Danio rerio: one gene and its partners. The protein of the gene in region 1 purifies or fractionates together with the protein of each later gene. This does not show direct contact. Links are inferred from orthologs where the notes say so. Each region holds a gene or a part of one and is shown in the gene's direction. Other genes may lie near its edges. The genes, in order: armc8, ube2h, mkln1, maea and mrpl18.

Region 1 (3,517 bases):
ATGACTATGCACTTTTATTGTTTTGATGCCTCAAGCTAAATGATTGCCATATTATTTTTGATGCTTTTTTGTCTTTGGCATTTAATTAATTGATAAAGGAGGACATATTTTCTTCTCCTGTTTTTGTATAAACCTAAATCTTTTTTGTCTTTGGCATTTAATTAATTGATAAAGGAGGACATATTTTCTTCTCCTGTTTTTATATAAACCTAAATATACAGATTATGCTGATTAAGCCATTGAACAGTAAAAAATGTCCCTGTCTGTGTTTAGTTGGATCATGACTTGAAACATGCACATGAGCTTCGACAGGCAGCCTTTAAACTCTATGCTTCACTGGGGTCTAATGATGAGGACATCAGGAAGAAGGTGAGACACTATAGTTGGCTTAGATAGATTACCTCGATGTGTAGATTTTTAGCTTATCTTAACTAATTTGTTTATCTTTTGCTGTTGTTTTATTTTTATCCAGCGTTATGTTATAATGCTTTGTGTTCCTAAAAAAATTATCAGTGTGACTGAAGACTTAAAAAGTCAACCTTGATACCATGACAGTTAAAAAGAGAAATTTTCATAACTGACCTGTTAATTGACAGTAGGAATTCTATAAGAAGATTATTAGAAGATTACTATTTTTGTCAAACAAGTAGTTCAGTGGGTCATTTAAGTTATTTCAAAAGTACATTTTATTAAACACAAGCACACACCTGGGAAATTCTGATTTAAAGTAACTTTTATTCAACCAGCAAGTTTTTTTTTTTTGATCGTAAATGACAGGCTTCATCCCTGTCATTCTCCTCATGTGTAGTTAAACCTCTTCAGTGTTTTAAAGGATAGTTTACCTTTTTGAAAATTAAACCTTACTTACAATTTACTCTCCCTCAAGTGGTAATAAACCTTTCTGTCTTTTGTTGAACACAGAAGAAGATATTTTGAAGAAAGCTGGAAACCTGAAACCATCAACTTTCAAAGTAGGAAAAACATACTGTGAAAGTCAATGGTTACATGGTTTCCAATTTTCTTTCTTAAAATATTTTCTGTTTTCAACAGAAGAATATCTAACAGGTTTGGAACAACTTAAGGAGGAGTAAATAATGAAAGGTTTTTCAAAATGACCTGTTAATTGATTGTAGGAACTCTATAAGAAGATTATTAGAAGATTACTATTATTGTCAAAATAAGTAGTTCAGTGGGTCATTTATGTTATTTTAAAAGTAAATTTCATTAAACACAAACACACCCCTGGCAAATTCTGACTTAAAGTAAATTTTATTCCACCATAATTTTTTTTCAGGGCTTTTTTAGGGCTTCATCCCTGTCATTTTTCTTCTGAAAGATAATAAGATGATGTACAAGAGCTTTTGTTTACATTTAAACAAAAGCTTTTTTGTCAGAATTTGTCAGGGGTATTAATAATTTCAGCCCTAACTGTATATAATGGTTATGTAAGATAAAACATTAGAGGTATTTTAAAGAGTCACAGTCACACATCTAATTGAATTTAATTGTAATTTAATTGACATTGTCTTTTTACATGTAATAAATGTCAGTTGTCAGTCAGGAAAAAGATTCACAATGAACATCCCTAAGTAAAGATATTGGGTTGATGTAATGAAAGATCCAATTTCTCCCCTACAGATTACAGAGACGGAAAACATGATGGACAGAATTGTTAGCGGCTTATCAGAATCTAGTATCAAAGTACGGTTAGCAGCAGTCAGGTATGAGGCATCTCTTTTCACAGTACTTCTGTAATTAATTTTTATAATATGAATGCACTGTTGATGAGCTTAAAAACATTCAAGACCTCTTACTGACCTCAAACTATTGATCAGTGGAGCAAATATGAAATGTGTTTGTTGAAATGCCACAGCAATTGGATGTTGAAAGAGTTTCAAGAATTTAAAAAATGTTGCTTTTGTATTTCAGATGATTTCTTTTTATTTGTTTTCCTCTAGATGTCTCCACAGTTTATCACGATCAGTACAACAGCTAAGAACGAGTTTCCATGATCATGCCGTATGGAAACCACTAATGAAGGTATGACATCTCGATGATGCTAAGCTGAATATCAACGCTAATCTAAGCTAAACAGAATAAACGTTTGTTTTGTTTGTTTTGGTAGTTATTACAGAACGCACCAGATGAGGTGCTGGTCATGGCCTCTTCAACACTATGCAACCTTCTTCTGGAATTTTCACCCAGTAAAGAGGTAAAGTATTTACACTTTGTTGGGCTTAGCATTATTAACACATATCTACAAAGCGAAAAACTGTCAGCACACCTTAACTTTAGTGCTTAATCTCTTCCTATCAGTCAACAAAAATAGTTTTGGATTTATAAGATTTGATTTGTGTGCTTTCTGTATAGCAAAGTTTTTTTTTTAAATTGACGATGGACTAAGTTTGTCATTCATGTTGTGCTATTATACAGTATGATGTGCTTTTGAAAATGCAAAATGAGCCTCCTGGATAATTTTTAATAATTAAATAAAAAATAACATCTATTCATTTGAAGAATTTGAACAGAAGACACATATTTTAACAGAAATTAACAGATAACATTGCTGTACAGTATGTTTTCATCCATCTATTTATTCAATTCAATACATTTTTATTTCTATAGCGCTTTTACAGTGCAAATTGTGTCAAAGCAGCTTAACATAGAAGTTCTAGTAAATTGAAACTGTTTCAGTCCAGTTTTCAGAGTTGAAGTTCAGCAAATCTATTAATGCGCAGCTCTACAAGTCGACAAGTAAAATTCCTTTGCATAAAAATATACTGGATGAAATAAAACACCCAGCTGAGCATACATTCTAAAAATCATTCTGAAAATTTACGTTTAAAATTTGCAGCTTTATTGAATTAAATTTTTTCCAGCAAAAAAAGACGAGTATAAAGTACAAAGGAAAAATGCATTTACTGAATAAATATGCAACAACAATAAACTCACAGTAATGTGAGGAGATTATTGAACAAGCCAGCAGATTGATCTCATCACAAAACATCTCAAAAATGTTTCAGTCTGTCTGAAATGCCTGAGCCAAAGTTACTGTAATGCAGGGGTCTCAAACTGCCCAGATTCGGCCGAGCGATACATTTATTTTAGAATCACTATTATTGTTGTGCTGTCGCATATATACTTGTGGTTTTGACCCCCCACCTACTGGACATTTAAGGTACTGTACTATATGTTTGAGTTACTTTCAGTTACTTTCAGTTTGGATTGGCCATTCGAGAGGACCGGGAGAACTCCCGGTGTGCCGGTCCGTTTTTTGGCCGCGAGGGCCGGTGTTTCTTGCTGCTTGCGCTCTCAGCAGTCGCACTTCTTTTTTCATTGATTTATTTATTTGACCATAGCCTCACTCTTTTTATTCATTATTTTGCCGCAGCTCAGCTCTTCTTATTTATTGTCTCGCAGCCCCAAGAGCAAAATGCAGCCTACAGGGTATTGATGATCTAACTATCATTCCGGCCACACGAGTAACAGCGCCAATGTGGTCTAGTGGTCAGAACGT
Region 2 (3,517 bases), on another chromosome or scaffold:
TTACCCAGAGAACATCCTGTGGTCCTATTTAATTATCATATCATCCTCTGTAAAGACCTTTTTTCTCTCTCTCTACATTGAGAAGCAGAAGTCTTATCGGTCTCCTCTCACCCAGGCTTTACCTTTCGTAGTTTGAGCTTCTGACCACAAGGGTCAAATTGCAGAAGGCTATTCTTGGAGCGAGCACACGTTGCACCAGACCTCATATCACACCACACCAATAGCACACATATATACACACCCACACGTGTGTCCTTACACTTATTATTCATAATTATCAAATAAGGAATTAGTGTTCCGCCCACATTCAGTCACTCGTAGGTTAGTCATTATGAGTGTTAGTCTTTTTAAGGCAAGACACCGCAGGTGAATAGGGTAAAAAAATATATATATATAGTTATACAAAAGGCTTCTCTACAACTTCACAAATACATACAATTTTTGTACAGTTTATATTACTTAGAATGAGGTTAATTAAGCAAATATTCTTAACTTCTTCCCATCCATGTCACCATGAGTCAGAAAATGAAGTTCCACCTTCAAACGGTGCTAGATAGTGACTCGCACGCCTTATTGGATGTTTCATTGATACTTTTTCTAACATTTTAATTGGTTGCAATCATTTTAAGAAATCTGTGCTTAGCACAAGCCTTAAGAAAACTTTCTGTTGCCTGAGGGCAACGATGTGCTGTAGAGGGTTAACTTACGATTGAAAACTGTTTCTAAACTTTTGTAGTTTTTAAAAATGTGTGGTTTGTAATGTGTGTGTTAGAAATGAATAATGCCTTATTTACATATTCAGAGGGAATCTCTTTTCTTGTTATATAATTCTGGGAACAGTCTGAAAAAAAGTATATATCGATTTATATAATCAGTCAAACTATGTATGAACACATCCCTTTGTAACAGAGGTGGGCAATTGATTTTTCCAAGGAGCCACAATAGACTCTGGGGTGGTTTTAGAGGGCGAGATCAATACATTTAATTTGTTAAAAAAAATACAAAATTCAATAAAAACTCTAAAGTAAAAAAAAAATGTTACACAAAAGTATTTTAAAGGTCAGCTTCATATAAATGTTACAGAGTTGTTTGTTTGATTGCTTCACCTTAGTTAACTTGTATTTATTTATTTATTCATTCAGTGTGGCATACCTCATGTGAATCCCTTCTTATTTGCGTGCTGAACCCGAGTGTCTGTTTAAAATAACGAAACTAAGCTTGCAAAAGGCGCTATATGTGAAAGTCGACTTTTGTTGACTCGCAATATCAGACCTGTGCAATGAAGGCCCTGTTTGCGGTTGAATTGAAATTCAATAAATACTTCACGCCGGCTGATCAAAGAAGTCCAGTGGGCCGCATTTGGCCCGGGGGCCATAAAATGCCCAGGTCTGCTCTGTAAAAACCTTCATAGATGTAACTGTAAAGATTGCGATATAAACAATAAGTGCTGCCAAAGTGTGTGCTTATGGCTCAATGCAGGAGAAAAATATCGTTTGTAATTAAAATAAATGGCAAAAGAGTGATAAAATCAACACTTTAAAGTGTGTTTTGAAAGATATCTTAAAAGGAAAAGTCAAAACATTAAATTTGACAGGTGCAGAAATAAATCTTGCCTACATTGTCTCGTCTTAAAGCTTGAGTCATCATGTGTCTCTTTCTGTTTTGTTTTTTCCTGTCAGCACCGTATGAAGGGGGCGTTTGGAAGGTGCGAGTAGATCTTCCAGACAAATACCCCTTCAAATCTCCGTCTATAGGTAAAGCATTACAGTGACATGATCAGCCACGTACGGTGGTTGGGTTGTGAAATTATGAGTAGATTACATTTAGATACGTGTGTAATTTGGAAAAAATGCCATGCCATCACTTTGATGTCATGTTTAATAGTCTGTAAAGATGGTGTTGGTTAGTGCATTGAAACGCTGTTGTTTTGATATATCTCACTTCCTGTTTTGATTTTTCTCGTAGGATTTATGAATAAGATTTTTCATCCAAACATCGATGAAGCGTAAGTGATATTCTGAGGCTTTCTTCTAAGGATATTTTACCTAAAAACGTAAATCCATCATTCTCTAATCATTCAAAACCTGTTTGATGATTGAAGAATGCTAAAGGAGATACTTTAAAAAATGTTTATGCTGCTCTTTTTCTATATATTAAAGACAAAACAGGGTTTTTCAAGCTCCAAAAAAAAGGATTAATCAATTCAATCATTTAAAAGTAGTCCAATTGGCGTCGTCTTTTAAAAGTCTTATGATAGTTTTGTGAAGAATGCTTTTTTTTTTTTTAAAGGATAATTGACCCCAAAAATTAAAATGCCATCGTTGTTGACTCATCCTGAAGTTGTTTTAAACCGGTGACAATTTGTTTCTTCTTTTGAATATGAAAGAACCATCTCTTAAATTCATTTTAGCTTTTTATTAGTCACATAAATATCCTCGGTCATTACTGTAAAGCTTGAAATCCAGGAATGCTTGAGTAAATAAAATACATTGTGTGTATATAAAAGTCTATGCTAAGATGATCAGGTTTTGGAGAAGTAATAAAAATACTGTCCATTAGTATGTTAGATATACTAATAATAATGAACAAAGTGTCGTAAATGGTTTAAAACATGATAATATCATACTACACCAGTTAAACAATATGATTATAGTCAGTATAGTTAAATACAGTTATTTGCATTTACTATTTTTAGCTGAATAGGAACAAAAAATGTTATCTCAAAAGGAAACACAAAAAGTTTGCATACTGTACCTTAAAATGTAATCGGAATCACTCTCATAGAATGGAGAAGTGGAAGTAAACAATGTGATGGCGTGTCATAGTGAATCTAAGTACAATAATATTAATTTAGCTCATTAGTCCTGCTCTAATGCCAATACTGTCACTGTTTTTCCAGGTCAGGGACCGTGTGTTTAGATGTGATCAACCAGACATGGACCGCTCTTTATGGTGAGTACATATGACCTCATTGTGGATTCATATTGAGAATGAATGCTCAGGAAAAGCCAGAGCTTGCATTGATGCTGCCCGAGGAGTAGAATAAAGTCTCCTGGCCTTTAGTCAGGATGGTGGTGCACTATAATCCTCTTACCTTCTCTGAATGAGCTAATACCTGCAAGGTCAGAAAACAGCATCAGTATACCTAACAAGCACACTTAAACGGGTCCATCCCGCCAGAGGCCATTCACACCACAGGCTTTTTTATGCTGTCACTCTGATTTTAACTGCATAGTTAATAATATAATGATTGCAATTATCTCCAAAGGTTGACTTGAGTTTTTTTTTTTTTAATTCAGTAATGCAGTCTGTCTTGTGAAATTATTCCGACATATGTGATTCAGATTTTTTTTTATATTGATTGAATCCAGTTGGTGCTAAATAATCATTCCGCAGTGTCTTTTTTTTCTTCCAAAAGATAAAATAATAATAAGAATCTGTTTTACCTATTCATGGTAAGTGGAAAATACAAAATAAAAACCAAGAATCCTTTTTATTTATTTATTTATTTTTATTG
Region 3 (3,517 bases), on another chromosome or scaffold:
AGATGGTTTGTTTAATCAGTACATCAGCCAGCAGGATTATAAGCCACGCTGGAGTCAGATCATCCCCAAATGTAACAAAGGTACGACAGCAGTCCGCTGTGGCACTGAATCTGGACACTGGACTCCAGGAAGTCTGCTGCTGTATTAATGACTTACCGACTTCTTCCTGACACGCACCACTTCTTATTGTTTTTTTTGTTTTTAACTTTCTGATTAGGCGATGGTGATGATAACAGGCCGGGCATGAGAGGAGGTCATCAAATGGTCATTGATGTTCAGACAGGTACGTTTTACATCACGCTGCTCATTTGCAAACTTTCTGATTGGGTGGTTATCATATCACTGTTTAGCTTGTCCTGTCTTGCTCATAGTGGAATGCATGCCTTTTTGCTCTGCTGTTGCAAGTTAATGGCTGTTTTAAGCGTGCGTGTGAATTGGTGAGCTTGTTGTTTGAAGAACAGTCGATCCCGCAGCTCTGTGCATTCAGACTGACCTCGAGTAACCCACTCTACACGGCTCAGCTGACGCTCAATAGCTCAAACAACTGTCTCTGCTTATCACCATGGCTACATCAGCCTTTCAACCTCACCACACAGCTGCCTTTCAAGAAAATGACGATTTATAAGCACTTAAAGCATGTTTTTTATGCTTCGGTTTCATATTGAATCTCTTACAAAGGAGTAAGACGGCTCACCCACTCACTCTAGCTTTCTCTCTCTCTGTTTGTACTTTTGTGTCCGTGTCTTTTGTTCATCAGAAACCGTGTATTTGTTCGGTGGCTGGGATGGAACGCAGGACTTGGCTGATTTCTGGGCGTACAGTGTGAAGGAGAACCAATGGGCCTGCATCTCCAGGGACACAGAGAAAGAGGTAAGAGAGAAAGTAAAAGAGGGAATTTCTTTTCAATTATGACTCAGCTGAATGGCACAAAAAAAAATCCCTAGGCATTTCCATCATGTCTGATTTTCACATACTATAGTGAGTGAGCTCTCTGTGCAAAGTGCATTGATAGATGGGTGATCTTTCAGCGGTTGGCTATTTAGATCTGGAATTTTAACTTGTAGTTGTAATAGTTCATGCTTGAGGATGATATGATTGAAATGGAAAATATGTGGAGTGACGTCCTCAGTGTTGACAGAAGTTATAATAGATGATCTTATTGGCTGTCTGGTACACAGTCCAGTTGAAACTAAAACCGCTTATTAACAGCAATGGCTGATTGACATAACCAATCACAGTTTACCATTTTAAGGCTCATTAGGGAGATTAAAATACATCAATATGGATTCATTTATTGATCAAATGACAAATTATATTGATTATTTGTGAGTTAATATAAAATCAATGTTTTTTTTGTAAATTAGGCACTTAATATCAAAATATTGATCGATATTTATTATATTTAATCCACTAAATTGATTTTAGTTAGATATTTTAGTATATGTATCTATATATATCTATATATATCTATATATATATATATATATATATATATATATATATATATATATATATATATATATATGTGTATATATATATGTGTGTATATATGTATATATATGTGTGTATATATGTATATATATGTGTGTGTGTGTGTGTGTGTGTGTGTGTATATATATATATATATATATATATATATATATATATATATATATATATATATATATATATATATATATATATATATATATATATATATATATATATTGTATAGGTTGATAAGAGTATCAGTATTATATCGTCTCGTTACAAGACATCCAATTTTTTTTTGAGAACCAAAAACTGTTTTATTTGTATGCTTGTTAGTTTTTTGTTTTGTTTAGTGCTACTCTGGGCCCTAAATTTTGATAACATTGACCTTAAAAAATTTGAATCACAAACTGACTGTTTTTTTCCTTTTTGAAATATCGATACCTTGATACTTCATCTTCCATCCTCATCTATAGTTTACTCTGTCTTGTAGATGTATCGAGAATCAGATGAAAGTGTGAAAGAAAAGTCTTGTGCAATATGTAAATGGTCTAAATGCCTTCGTTACACTTGGAATTAACGTCTGTTTCAGTGATCCGATTGCAAATGGTCAGCCAAGACACATTACCATTTACACCTGGTATTGACATGTGTTAAAATCATCTTCATGAGTTTCTTCAAGAATACATCACTTCCGCAGGAGCACTGAGTGCTGTTAGAGTCTCTTTAACATAATTGATTTCACTCTGTGCCATCTTTGAAACACCTCTCGGGAACTTTCCAAAACTGTTTGCCAAGCTTACGATTACATTACATATTTCTCACAAATTTTGGTTTTAAGAGTTCAAATGAGATCACGACATTTACTCATTTACTCATTGCCATTCTCTGGATATTGCTTCGTCAGATTGTGCTGGTCTTCTGAAGTAATCCACAACTTGGTCTTGAGGCGAATCTCCTCCAATGACAGTGACTGTTTGTTTAATTTTGTGTGCGTTTGAGTAGTTGCTGCTGTCATGTGATGGGTGTTTGACAGGACAAACTATACCTCGTGTTCATTTTATACAGATTACAAAACCAAAAACTTTTGTTTTCAGGTGTAGTCGGTTAATTTAAAAGTACAAATTTCAAGCTTTATATGTATATGTGAAGAAGTGTTTTTCATGTTGCCTCTGAAGCAAGTATTTGCTGAGATTCCAGTGCATTTATTGTCCACAACAAACTGTCATAAAAGCACACAATTGGTCTGAGCTTCTCCTCTTGGAGAGATCAATGATTGGCTTCTGTACTAGAAGGCAGAGCTTCATTCGCCGTATTGACCGACAATTTTCCCCATTTAAATCTATACAAGTGACAGGTCTTGTGTATTTATAGTCTTTAGTGCTATTGAATAAATGAAAAACCCATGTAATGCAGCTTTTGAGTGAGCGAGGAAATGATGAATGAGAAGATTGTGGATGTTACAATTTTTTTTCATTGTAATTCGGTTTTGGTAGATCATGGTGAGGTATGAATACTTTCTTTTTGTCCCATAGTTATCGTGTATGGTTTGACATGACAGAAAGCAGAATGGTCATATGTAGTTTCATTAGAAGTTGTCATCTTTTACACCTGTATTTCATCTACTTGTGATCGGATTAATGAAAATGCATCCTAATACTTGGCTTAAATGGCAATAACTACAAAGGTGGTGTTACATTTTTTTTTTCAGAGTGGTCCCAGTGCTCGTTCATGCCACAAAATGTGCATCGATTCTCAACGGAGGCAGATCTACACGCTGGGCCGATATCTGGACTCCTCGGTCAGAAACAGCAAGTCTCTGAAGAGTGACTTCTACTGCTACGACATTGACGCAAACACGTGGACCCTCCTGAGTGAAGACACATCCGCTGATGGAGGACCCAAACTTGTGTTCGACCACCAGGTAAATTGCACAACCTACAGTATATGCAGGATTTATCCTCCATACCATCAGGAGTCTCTCTTTTACAGATTTATGATGAACACCTATTAAAATAATCTTCCTTTTGCGTCCTCAGATGTGCAT
Region 4 (4,307 bases), on another chromosome or scaffold:
GTTAAAGGTGACACGAATACACATAAATTAGGGAAATTTAATCACCAAAAAAAGTGAGTATATCGAGGGTATACGCAATTATTGATCCTTTAAAGTCGTAATACCCAAACAGTGGTAAAAAAGTAAGCATATGGAGTATACATGCGTATAGCCCTGACTACACCATTGGTTCCAACCCAACTCCAACATACTTAAGTTGCGATCACACTGCACTTTTCTCCCTATAGACATCCATTCATACGCACAAGAATGCGTCACATTGAAAACGCAGATTGCTGCGTTGAAAAGATCAAACTTGGAGTACAAAATCGCATCACATAATTGCGTGAGATCGAAAATCCAAAAATGACCTCTTCGGACAGGAATTTAAAACATGGACCTATCACTTGTTTTTTTTTTTTTAATGTATAATCATCTTGTTTAATCCCGCCCCTCTTGCAGCGACATATAACAGGATTTCACATGCTCAAACTCTAGTGTGACTGTTACCTGTAGATTTCAAACAAGCCTGAAGGACTCGGTTAGTTTGATCATGTGTGTTTAATAGACCCTTTTCACACTTCTGGCTTTCTCAGTAGTGGAAGGCATCATGGTTGGGTAAACTTAGAGCGCAGTGAATGGGAGAGTACAACAAAAACATCTTTTACAATCCTATTTGCTGAAATATAAAAAACTCCATGGTGGTGTTATCACGACTTTCAGAAATAGGGGGAAAAAATTGTGTGAGACTGATGATGGCAGCCAGAGGAGACAATAACATCAAATTTACTCTAAGCCCTACAGACGCTACAAACACCTCGCTTTAGAGGTAATTGGTTTTAATGTAATTTGACGCAAAGTTGATCTAATACATTCATAAATGCATATAAATGTTTACGTGTTTTTTAAAAATCTAAATATTAAAAACTTTCAGGGATTTAAGTTTATGATGACTGCTAAACGTGTTAAACAATGACCCTTAAGTTAAATGTCTTTTAAAAGGAGTCCATTAGGGTTGGAACTAGTTCAGTAAAGTTAGCAACGAATCTGTGAATCTGTTGCTACCTTTGCTGAACTGTTGGAACTTAACGTTAACTGTGCAGAATAGAGGTAAAGTTGGTTTTATATTCGCATATTCGTTCATTTAGAAGTCTCTTTCTTGTTTACCATGTTACTTTGAATATTCGATCGGAATTAGCATGCAAGTATGACTTCTAAACAACATTAACACTATGTAATTCACTGTGAACAATGTTGTACTTTAACGATCATTTACTGCTAATATGATTTCGCTATTTACAATTTTCAAATAATATTTTTCTGGAATTATATTATTCAGGAGAATGTCTGAATATCCGAATATAAAACCAACTTTACCTCTATCTGTGCAGCTGAGGCGATCCACAAACTGATTTTGACAGCTGTGCCTTAAATAATGGGTACATTTTTATTTTTGGCTGAATTATCTTTTTGATCCTAAAAACACAAGCATTCACCGCCACACTAGGAGGCGGTAACAAACAGTTCTAACCTCGCTGCCGCGGCGAAGACCAAATCCGGGAAGAAGACGAACAAACGCTCCACAGTTTCCCCAAAGCAAGATGGCGGTGCAAGAGACAGCAGCTCAACTCTCTATGGCCCTAAAGGTGCAAGAATACCCAACTTTAAAGGTCTGTCAAGCGTTTCCTCTCCATAATCTAATCACGCAACTAAACAGATTCCGTGTGCGTTGTTTGACCTCAATAACAGGGCATCAAACTGAGATTATCCATCAAATTAAAACTGTGTCTGCATTTAGACAGTTAACTGGTTAGCTCTGGGGCTAGATAACTTAGCAAAACAAGTCCCACACAAACCGATCTAACCGGAGTGATCGCAAATATTCCAGCAGTGACATCGCATGTTCAGTTATAAATTGCGTCGACAGCTGTGTTAAAGGGGTAAATGAGTCGATTAATGTCAGTCTGGCCCATGTCATTCTTGCGTTCCGACAGTGTTGTGTTAATAGACGCTGTTTTATCCCATCACAGGTTTGTCCACTAGTGTAACCAGCGAGCAATGCAGTTCAAGGCAGATTGACGATAATCATTAGCGAGGTTGGATAGTGAGTGACACGAATAATATCGGATGTACTGATGCTTCATAATCGACTGCTGTTCAGTCTCATGTGTGCGTTTGATTGCTATTTGGCGGCTGTCATCTAAAGCTATGATTTTCCGTGGCTTTAGATGAATGCTGGAGGGATATACACATGCCAATGGTGACCAGAGATCGGTATGCATGCGATTTATGCACCATATTAGGATCACATTGTATCATGTTGTGTTGGTCGTTTGCGGGCTTAACAACCAGGTGTAGATTGTCGATGAGGAGCTTATTATTTACGGTAATGGGTGGGATACAGCACCTTTGTTCTCTGCGTCAGAGGTTTTTTTCACGATTGATAGCGTCGTTATGGATGAATCCTCACGTTAACCGGTTCTTTTGACTGATTGATGATGCATTGAGTGCTTTGTGACGTGATTAGTTCATGGATCTCATGTAATTTGACGCCTGTTTATGTAAACGCACACTGAATGTCAATAATATATGGTCTTCACTGCTGTGTCAAGGGCATGTTGCATCTAAGCTTGTCTTGCAGCATTGGGAATGATTTCCAGTACATTCTTGATCATTGCATCATGATCTAACCATATATACCAGTCGCTATTTTGGTGCAGAACCAGAAGCCACATTGGTTGAGGAAGTGTAATGAAAATATGTGGAACAGCTCTTTCATAAAAGAGACTGGTTGGTGTAATGTTTTAGAGGTAGATGAATCATTACAATTGATATTTGTTCATATTTACAAATTATATAATGGTGTACAATCGAAAAGGAATACATTCCTTTTATGACATTTAATTTTTACTAGTGTATGTCACAAATGAATGGTGGTTGCTGCCTAATAATGAAATAAACAGATGTCTTAAAGAGTTCACCTAAAAACGAACTACCTATGAATATGTATAACCCTGATATCATTTCCTCTTCTTTAAAAAAAGTAATTGGCAGTGAATAGCAACCAGCATTACAGGGCTAGTTTACTCAAAAATTACATTTTGTTATTAAATTCTCACCCTTATGTCATTTACAATTTCCTTTATTTTGTCTCCAGAACACAGTTTAAGATTTTTAGAGGATATCTGAGAGCTCCCTCATCCTCCATAGATGGCAACATTCACATTCTGACTGAAGTTAGATGGAATGTTTCGAAAATGTTTTGGTTCCTTTTTTTTGAACTTTGAATGTCTCAGGTCTGTTGCAGTCTGTAGAAAGAGCTCTCAGATTTCATTATAAATGTCTTGTGGCCTGCCCTGAGCCATATGGTATAGGGTTGTCATGATACTGGAATTCGGTACCAATCGATACTGAAATTTTAAAAACATCAATTTCCTGCAAACATTTGTGCACTGTTGAGCACATTCTTAAACACTGCTGATTTGCCATTGTATTCACTAACTCAACAGAAAAAACTGTGATTATTACACTAAGTAAACAGCAATGAATTTGGTGAACTAATGACCTTCACGGCCAATCACAGTCGTTTCTTTTGAGCATGTGAACACAATGGCGAATCAGCGCTGTGCTCAACAGCGCTCAAATGTTTGCGGGAAATGGACTTTTTTTTTTTATTTCTGTACAAATTGGTACCAAATTCTAGAATCGTGACAATCCTATGGTATGGTGTGGTAGAGTATCGTACTTTTTTTTTGGCCCATTTCACTGTCTAAGGAACCAAAAAAGCAGACCGTACCACTTTTTGGGTAAAGAGCAATTCCAGCGTTATGAATGTGACATTTGTAGTAAAAATTCAAAGCAAAAACTCACAGAGAAAGAATATGTTAACATTATATTGAAACATTAGTTTATATTTCCTAGAACAACTAACCACAAAGTCAAGTCATCCGAAAATATTAATCTTTAAACATTTTTAATATTTTAAATGAGAGAAGTAAACATGCGTTATGTACGTGACCAAAAAGTATCCAAGTTTATAGTATACAACATACTTGGTAAAAATTCTATGAATTAAAGTGCACAACCCAAAATAAAGAATGCTAATCAAAAGGATAACTATAGAACAGCTCACTATAGCTTACTATTGTTAGCTCACTATAGAACAAACAAGATTGGTTTTATTTTATTTGACATTTCCATTAATGAGGAAAAAACTTCGTTATGGATGTTACATTTCTCTGTTATGGATGTGACAGATGTGAAATTGCCACTTGTGTGACTTTGGTAAACCAAATCTAATGGTTTGAAAACATTGACAGAGGCATTTT
Region 5 (4,125 bases), on another chromosome or scaffold:
GACGTACAAACTGACCAATCAACATGTGATCACATCGTAAATCCCCCAAGTCCACACACCAGGCCCTGATCTCATCAGTATCTGCCTTTTGAGTCAGTATGGATCTTCTTGAAAAAGACATGTTCTGCCATATAAACAAATTCATATGATTATTTTAATTCCTACAAAATGCTTTTTGGATTCTTTCACAAGAATTGAATGTATAAAGTTGGCAAAAATTGGAAGTTAAGATTGCCCTCTTTTTCCATGACGTATATCCAATTAAAACTGGAAATAAGAAAAAAGGTTGGGCGGTGCAAGAAGATTTCACCCTTTGGGGCTATGGATTGTTGGAAGAAATTTCTAACAAAATGAAGCAAGATTGGACGACAAGACAAGGCTAAAACAAAATATGTCTTGACAGCTCCTCCCTAAAGGTGCTCCATGTGACCAGAAGTGAAGAAAAGTTGGTCCAAGGGGGCATGCAGGGGAAGTTATGGCTTTTGAGAAAAAAATATTTTAGAGGGCAAATTAATTTTTACAAAATAATGAAGTTTACAGACACCATTTACAACAAGAACTATCATAGAAATATAAAAATAAGAGGAGCAAATTTTAATCTTATGGTACTGTATGTATGCAAAAATCATGCAGTCAGAGATCCTGTTAGAATGTTCACCAAAATGGTGCATGTACCTGTCCTGGATGCGACAACTTTGTAGCAATACAGAGTATTTAATGTGTAAGTAAATGAGTGCATTAGGAAAGGCTGACCTTTCAGACAAAAACATATTAAGGAAAGTTATTATGGCTGATTACAGGTAACAGCATATTGTTGTAAATGATTTTCAGCTTTTTGTACAGACAAATGTTTACATTTATAGTTTCTCAATGTGAATCAATGATTCATGTTGATTCTGTGTTACATGTAAGTTTTTTTTTTCATCTCCCAAAGTGCTAGCATTGATGAATCATGGAAAAATGCTTTTTTAATGTCCCACTGTAAATAAAATTGATCTCTAATGGCCAAGGTTAAACTACAGTAGGCTACTCCAACACAATAAAATTACTTTTTAATAACTGTGAAGTGATGGATCCTATATGTGAGGTTTTCTTATTTTAGAATGAAGTGTACTGGTGACATCTGGTGGACAGCTTTATAGTATGCGAGTATAAACTATTTTAATAAACTTTAGTTTAAGGGCCTTAAAAGAACGATTTTTTTAAATGCATTAAAGAGCATATTCTATACAACATAAAAAGGGTTTGCATTTGTTTTTATTCATTTTAAGGATCTCTAAACGGAACCCATGTGCAGTTCCAAGTTTCTTCCGGAAACACGGACTGTGTTCTCAGTGACATCAAAATGGCTGCGCACTAGAGTCTGGACAGATCATTTTAATATCATAGAAAAGGTCATGCGGTAGCTGATTGAACAGAAACAACAGTTATAAACTGGCGTTATAATTAAAGGCATAGTTAAAGCCGTCAAATGGCTTTGTTTAGTGATGTTTGTCGTAGTGCTCGCGTGCTGCTAGCTCAATGTCAGAGATCTGCAGCTGCAGCGGCGTGGCTTCACTGTCAGCCCGGTAAGAAACACAACTAAACCTTTAGCTTTATCCACTGATCCTCTGCAGCACGTGTGTGTTCATTACATACAGGCGACGTCTGTGTTTTTTATTGAGGTGAAGCTGGTTTTACATTACATTGAGGTAAAGTTGGTTTTATATTCGCACATTCAGTCTTTCTCATTATTAATATGATGTCAGAAAAGTATTAATTGGAAATTCTAAATAGCGAAATTATATCAACAGCCAACAACCATCAAAGTACAGCATTGTTCACAGTCAATTAAGTAGTGATAATGTTGTTTTGAAGCCATACTTGCATGTGATTTCAGTCCGAATACTCAAAGTACCATGGTAAACAATGTGTGGAGCTGTCACTGAACAAATGTGTGAATATAAAACCATCTTTACCTCAATTTACATTACCACATTAGTTCAGTTACAAGTTGTGACACTGTGTATTGTTTACTATGCCAACGTTACTTTGATTATTCTATCTGAAATTGCATGCAAGTATGACTTCAAAACAATATCAGCACTATTAAATTGACTAAACAATGTTGTACGTTTTTGATAGTCATTAGTGGGATATATGGTTCCCCATTTTTAATTTTCAAACAATACTTTTCTAAAAATATATTATTGGGAACAAAGTCTGAGTGTGCAAATATAAATCCAACTTTACCTCGCTGTGTATTTCTCAGTGCGTTTTGGAACTGAAGTGATTAAAATAACACAAAAGTGGCAGAATATTTAAGTCAGTCTGGACTGTAAATTTTTGGGGAATCTGTTCACAAAAAGATTCTGGTGAGACTGAACTGGGATTAATCTCCAAATTACATTTCTTTTAGACAAAGACTTTTCCCACCAGACTAAACTCGAACAATGTTAATTACAGCTCTTTGTTTTACTTTTTTTTTTCTTTTCAAATTTAAAAACTGTCAATTTTACAGTTATAATGGTGCAGAGCTGCGGAGTCTTAAAAAGTATTAAAAGTTGATAAGCCAATGTAAAGATATTGTCTTAAACGCTATTTTTCAAGATGTTAAATTTTACATGTATGGTTTTTTGTCAAAGTTTGCCTGAATTAAATCAGCAAATATCAGGATTCTGTGTAGTTTATGAAATGAATAAAATCCTGCTAGATCAGGGGTCCGTTCTTCGTACCTCGCTTAAATGATCTAAGATGATTTGGCAGATCCTGGATCTTTTCATCTTGATAACTGATCTCTGGCTAGTTTGGTTCTTCAAACAAGTTCGCGAATCAGATTAGAATGTCTGGATGAACTGATCTGAGATCGCTGCGTGTGTTGTGAAGGACAGATCTATTGATCCTCAAAATCATGATCAAATGCTACGATTGGCTGACGGCATAGCAGCGTAATGACATCATCTGATTAATATTCAATTATCCATGTGAGCAACATTACATCAAATTAGCAGGAAACGGTTTGTTAAATATGACACGCAATAACCTTCCACATTTGTTGTGAGCTGCAGGCTTTACACTTTCATGTGTCAAGAGCATTCATCATGTATTTCAATGCAAATCAATGTATTTAGTACTACATTTAGAAAAGATTTTCTTTATTATAGTAGCCGTTTTTTAATCGGTGTAAACAATAACTGGATGTTTACAAAAGCATTTTGATATTGGTAAAGGGGTCTGCAACTTTTGTGAAGCATCAAATTACTGGCATATTAACTATCAAAACATGTTTAAGACTGCAAAAATGTATTATTTCTTTTAAAAAGTCACATATTGTGCATTTCTATTATACACAAATTGTATTAAAGCGATCTAAAAAGTTCTTATCAATAAGTTTTCTCTGTGCACCACCAAGTGGCAGTCTTTGTACTTTCATTTCGAGAGTGCAGATTGCATGTTTTATTAATATATATATATAACTTTATTTATTTTATTAATAACTATAACTTTATATAGTTAAAATATATTTACCATTTTCCCAGTTGTGACTACTACTGTAAGAAAATATCAGAATTCGGAACATACTTTCTGTATTATCTTTGCTTGAACTGAGCCGATCTAATCCTGTTTATATGAATTGAACCTGCTCCCGATCAGGTTTGAGCTAGCAGAACTGTTGCTATGACGACAACTCTCGAATCAGCTTTGAAGAACGAAACGATCCTGGATCGTGTCAAACCGTCAATATCCAAATCCAGCTAACTAAGTAATCCACGTACGAAGAACGGACCCATGACCTCATGGTGCTTTGTTTACTCCAGTAACCAAGGCAACACCATTATTTTCACAGTTCTAAAGGTGCCCACCTGCTGAATTAGCTTCAATTCAAGCTAATAGATAATGTGTATTTTCTTTTTTCCATGAGCTCTATTATCAATTTAAGAACAATGTTTCTTTCCTTCCCCATACCTCCCAAAGCTAAAGAAGTACATTTTAAATTTTTAATGATATTTACCCATCTTCAGAGTTTCTTAGACATAGATTTAATTTTGATCGCAACAATTGTACATTCTGTGAGGTTGACATGCAAACGATTGCACATTTATTTTTGAATATTTATTGAGCAGAACCTTTTAGTCCAGGGGTCTC

What was found.
Region 2: the proteins of armc8 (region 1) and ube2h purify together in Homo sapiens (affinity purification with mass spectrometry; 3 studies listed by BioGRID and IntAct, with this or other methods). This does not show direct contact. The link is inferred for Danio rerio from reciprocal best matches to the Homo sapiens genes ARMC8 and UBE2H.
Region 3: the proteins of armc8 (region 1) and mkln1 purify together in Homo sapiens (affinity purification with mass spectrometry; 4 studies listed by BioGRID and IntAct, with this or other methods). This does not show direct contact. The link is inferred for Danio rerio from reciprocal best matches to the Homo sapiens genes ARMC8 and MKLN1.
Region 4: the proteins of armc8 (region 1) and maea purify together in Homo sapiens (affinity purification with mass spectrometry; 5 studies listed by BioGRID and IntAct, with this or other methods). This does not show direct contact. The link is inferred for Danio rerio from reciprocal best matches to the Homo sapiens genes ARMC8 and MAEA.
Region 5: the proteins of armc8 (region 1) and mrpl18 purify together in Homo sapiens (affinity purification with mass spectrometry; 3 studies listed by BioGRID and IntAct, with this or other methods). This does not show direct contact. The link is inferred for Danio rerio from reciprocal best matches to the Homo sapiens genes ARMC8 and MRPL18.

What each region holds. Positions count from the first base shown.
Region 1 is NC_133184.1:29,563,162-29,566,678, forward strand, and holds part of armc8 (armadillo repeat-containing protein 8), read left to right. Parts: intron 1-273; coding exon 274-369; intron 370-1,638; coding exon 1,639-1,721; intron 1,722-1,958; coding exon 1,959-2,040; intron 2,041-2,125; coding exon 2,126-2,212; intron 2,213-3,517. UniProt on the Homo sapiens protein: Component of the CTLH E3 ubiquitin-protein ligase complex that selectively accepts ubiquitin from UBE2H and mediates ubiquitination and subsequent proteasomal degradation of the transcription factor HBP1.
Region 2 is NC_133179.1:15,632,196-15,635,712, forward strand, and holds part of ube2h (ubiquitin-conjugating enzyme E2 H), read left to right. Parts: intron 1-1,679; coding exon 1,680-1,754; intron 1,755-1,965; coding exon 1,966-2,005; intron 2,006-2,899; coding exon 2,900-2,952; intron 2,953-3,517. UniProt on the Homo sapiens protein: Accepts ubiquitin from the E1 complex and catalyzes its covalent attachment to other proteins. E2 ubiquitin conjugating enzyme that transfers ubiquitin to MAEA, a core component of the CTLH E3 ubiquitin-protein ligase complex.
Region 3 is NC_133179.1:12,280,185-12,283,701, forward strand, and holds part of mkln1 (muskelin), read left to right. Parts: intron 1-2; coding exon 3-80; intron 81-217; coding exon 218-283; intron 284-757; coding exon 758-870; intron 871-3,181; coding exon 3,182-3,394; intron 3,395-3,509; coding exon 3,510-3,517. UniProt on the Homo sapiens protein: Component of the CTLH E3 ubiquitin-protein ligase complex that selectively accepts ubiquitin from UBE2H and mediates ubiquitination and subsequent proteasomal degradation of the transcription factor HBP1.
Region 4 is NC_133189.1:25,445,507-25,449,813, reverse strand, and holds the start of maea (E3 ubiquitin-protein transferase MAEA), read left to right. Parts: upstream 1-1,498; 5' UTR 1,499-1,580; coding exon 1,581-1,649; exon of another isoform or gene 1,650-2,211; coding exon of another isoform or gene 2,212-2,253; intron 2,254-4,307.
Region 5 is NC_133189.1:40,104,078-40,108,202, reverse strand, and holds the start of mrpl18 (large ribosomal subunit protein uL18m), read left to right. Parts: upstream 1-1,325; 5' UTR 1,326-1,471; coding exon 1,472-1,568; intron 1,569-4,125. UniProt on the Homo sapiens protein: Together with thiosulfate sulfurtransferase (TST), acts as a mitochondrial import factor for the cytosolic 5S rRNA.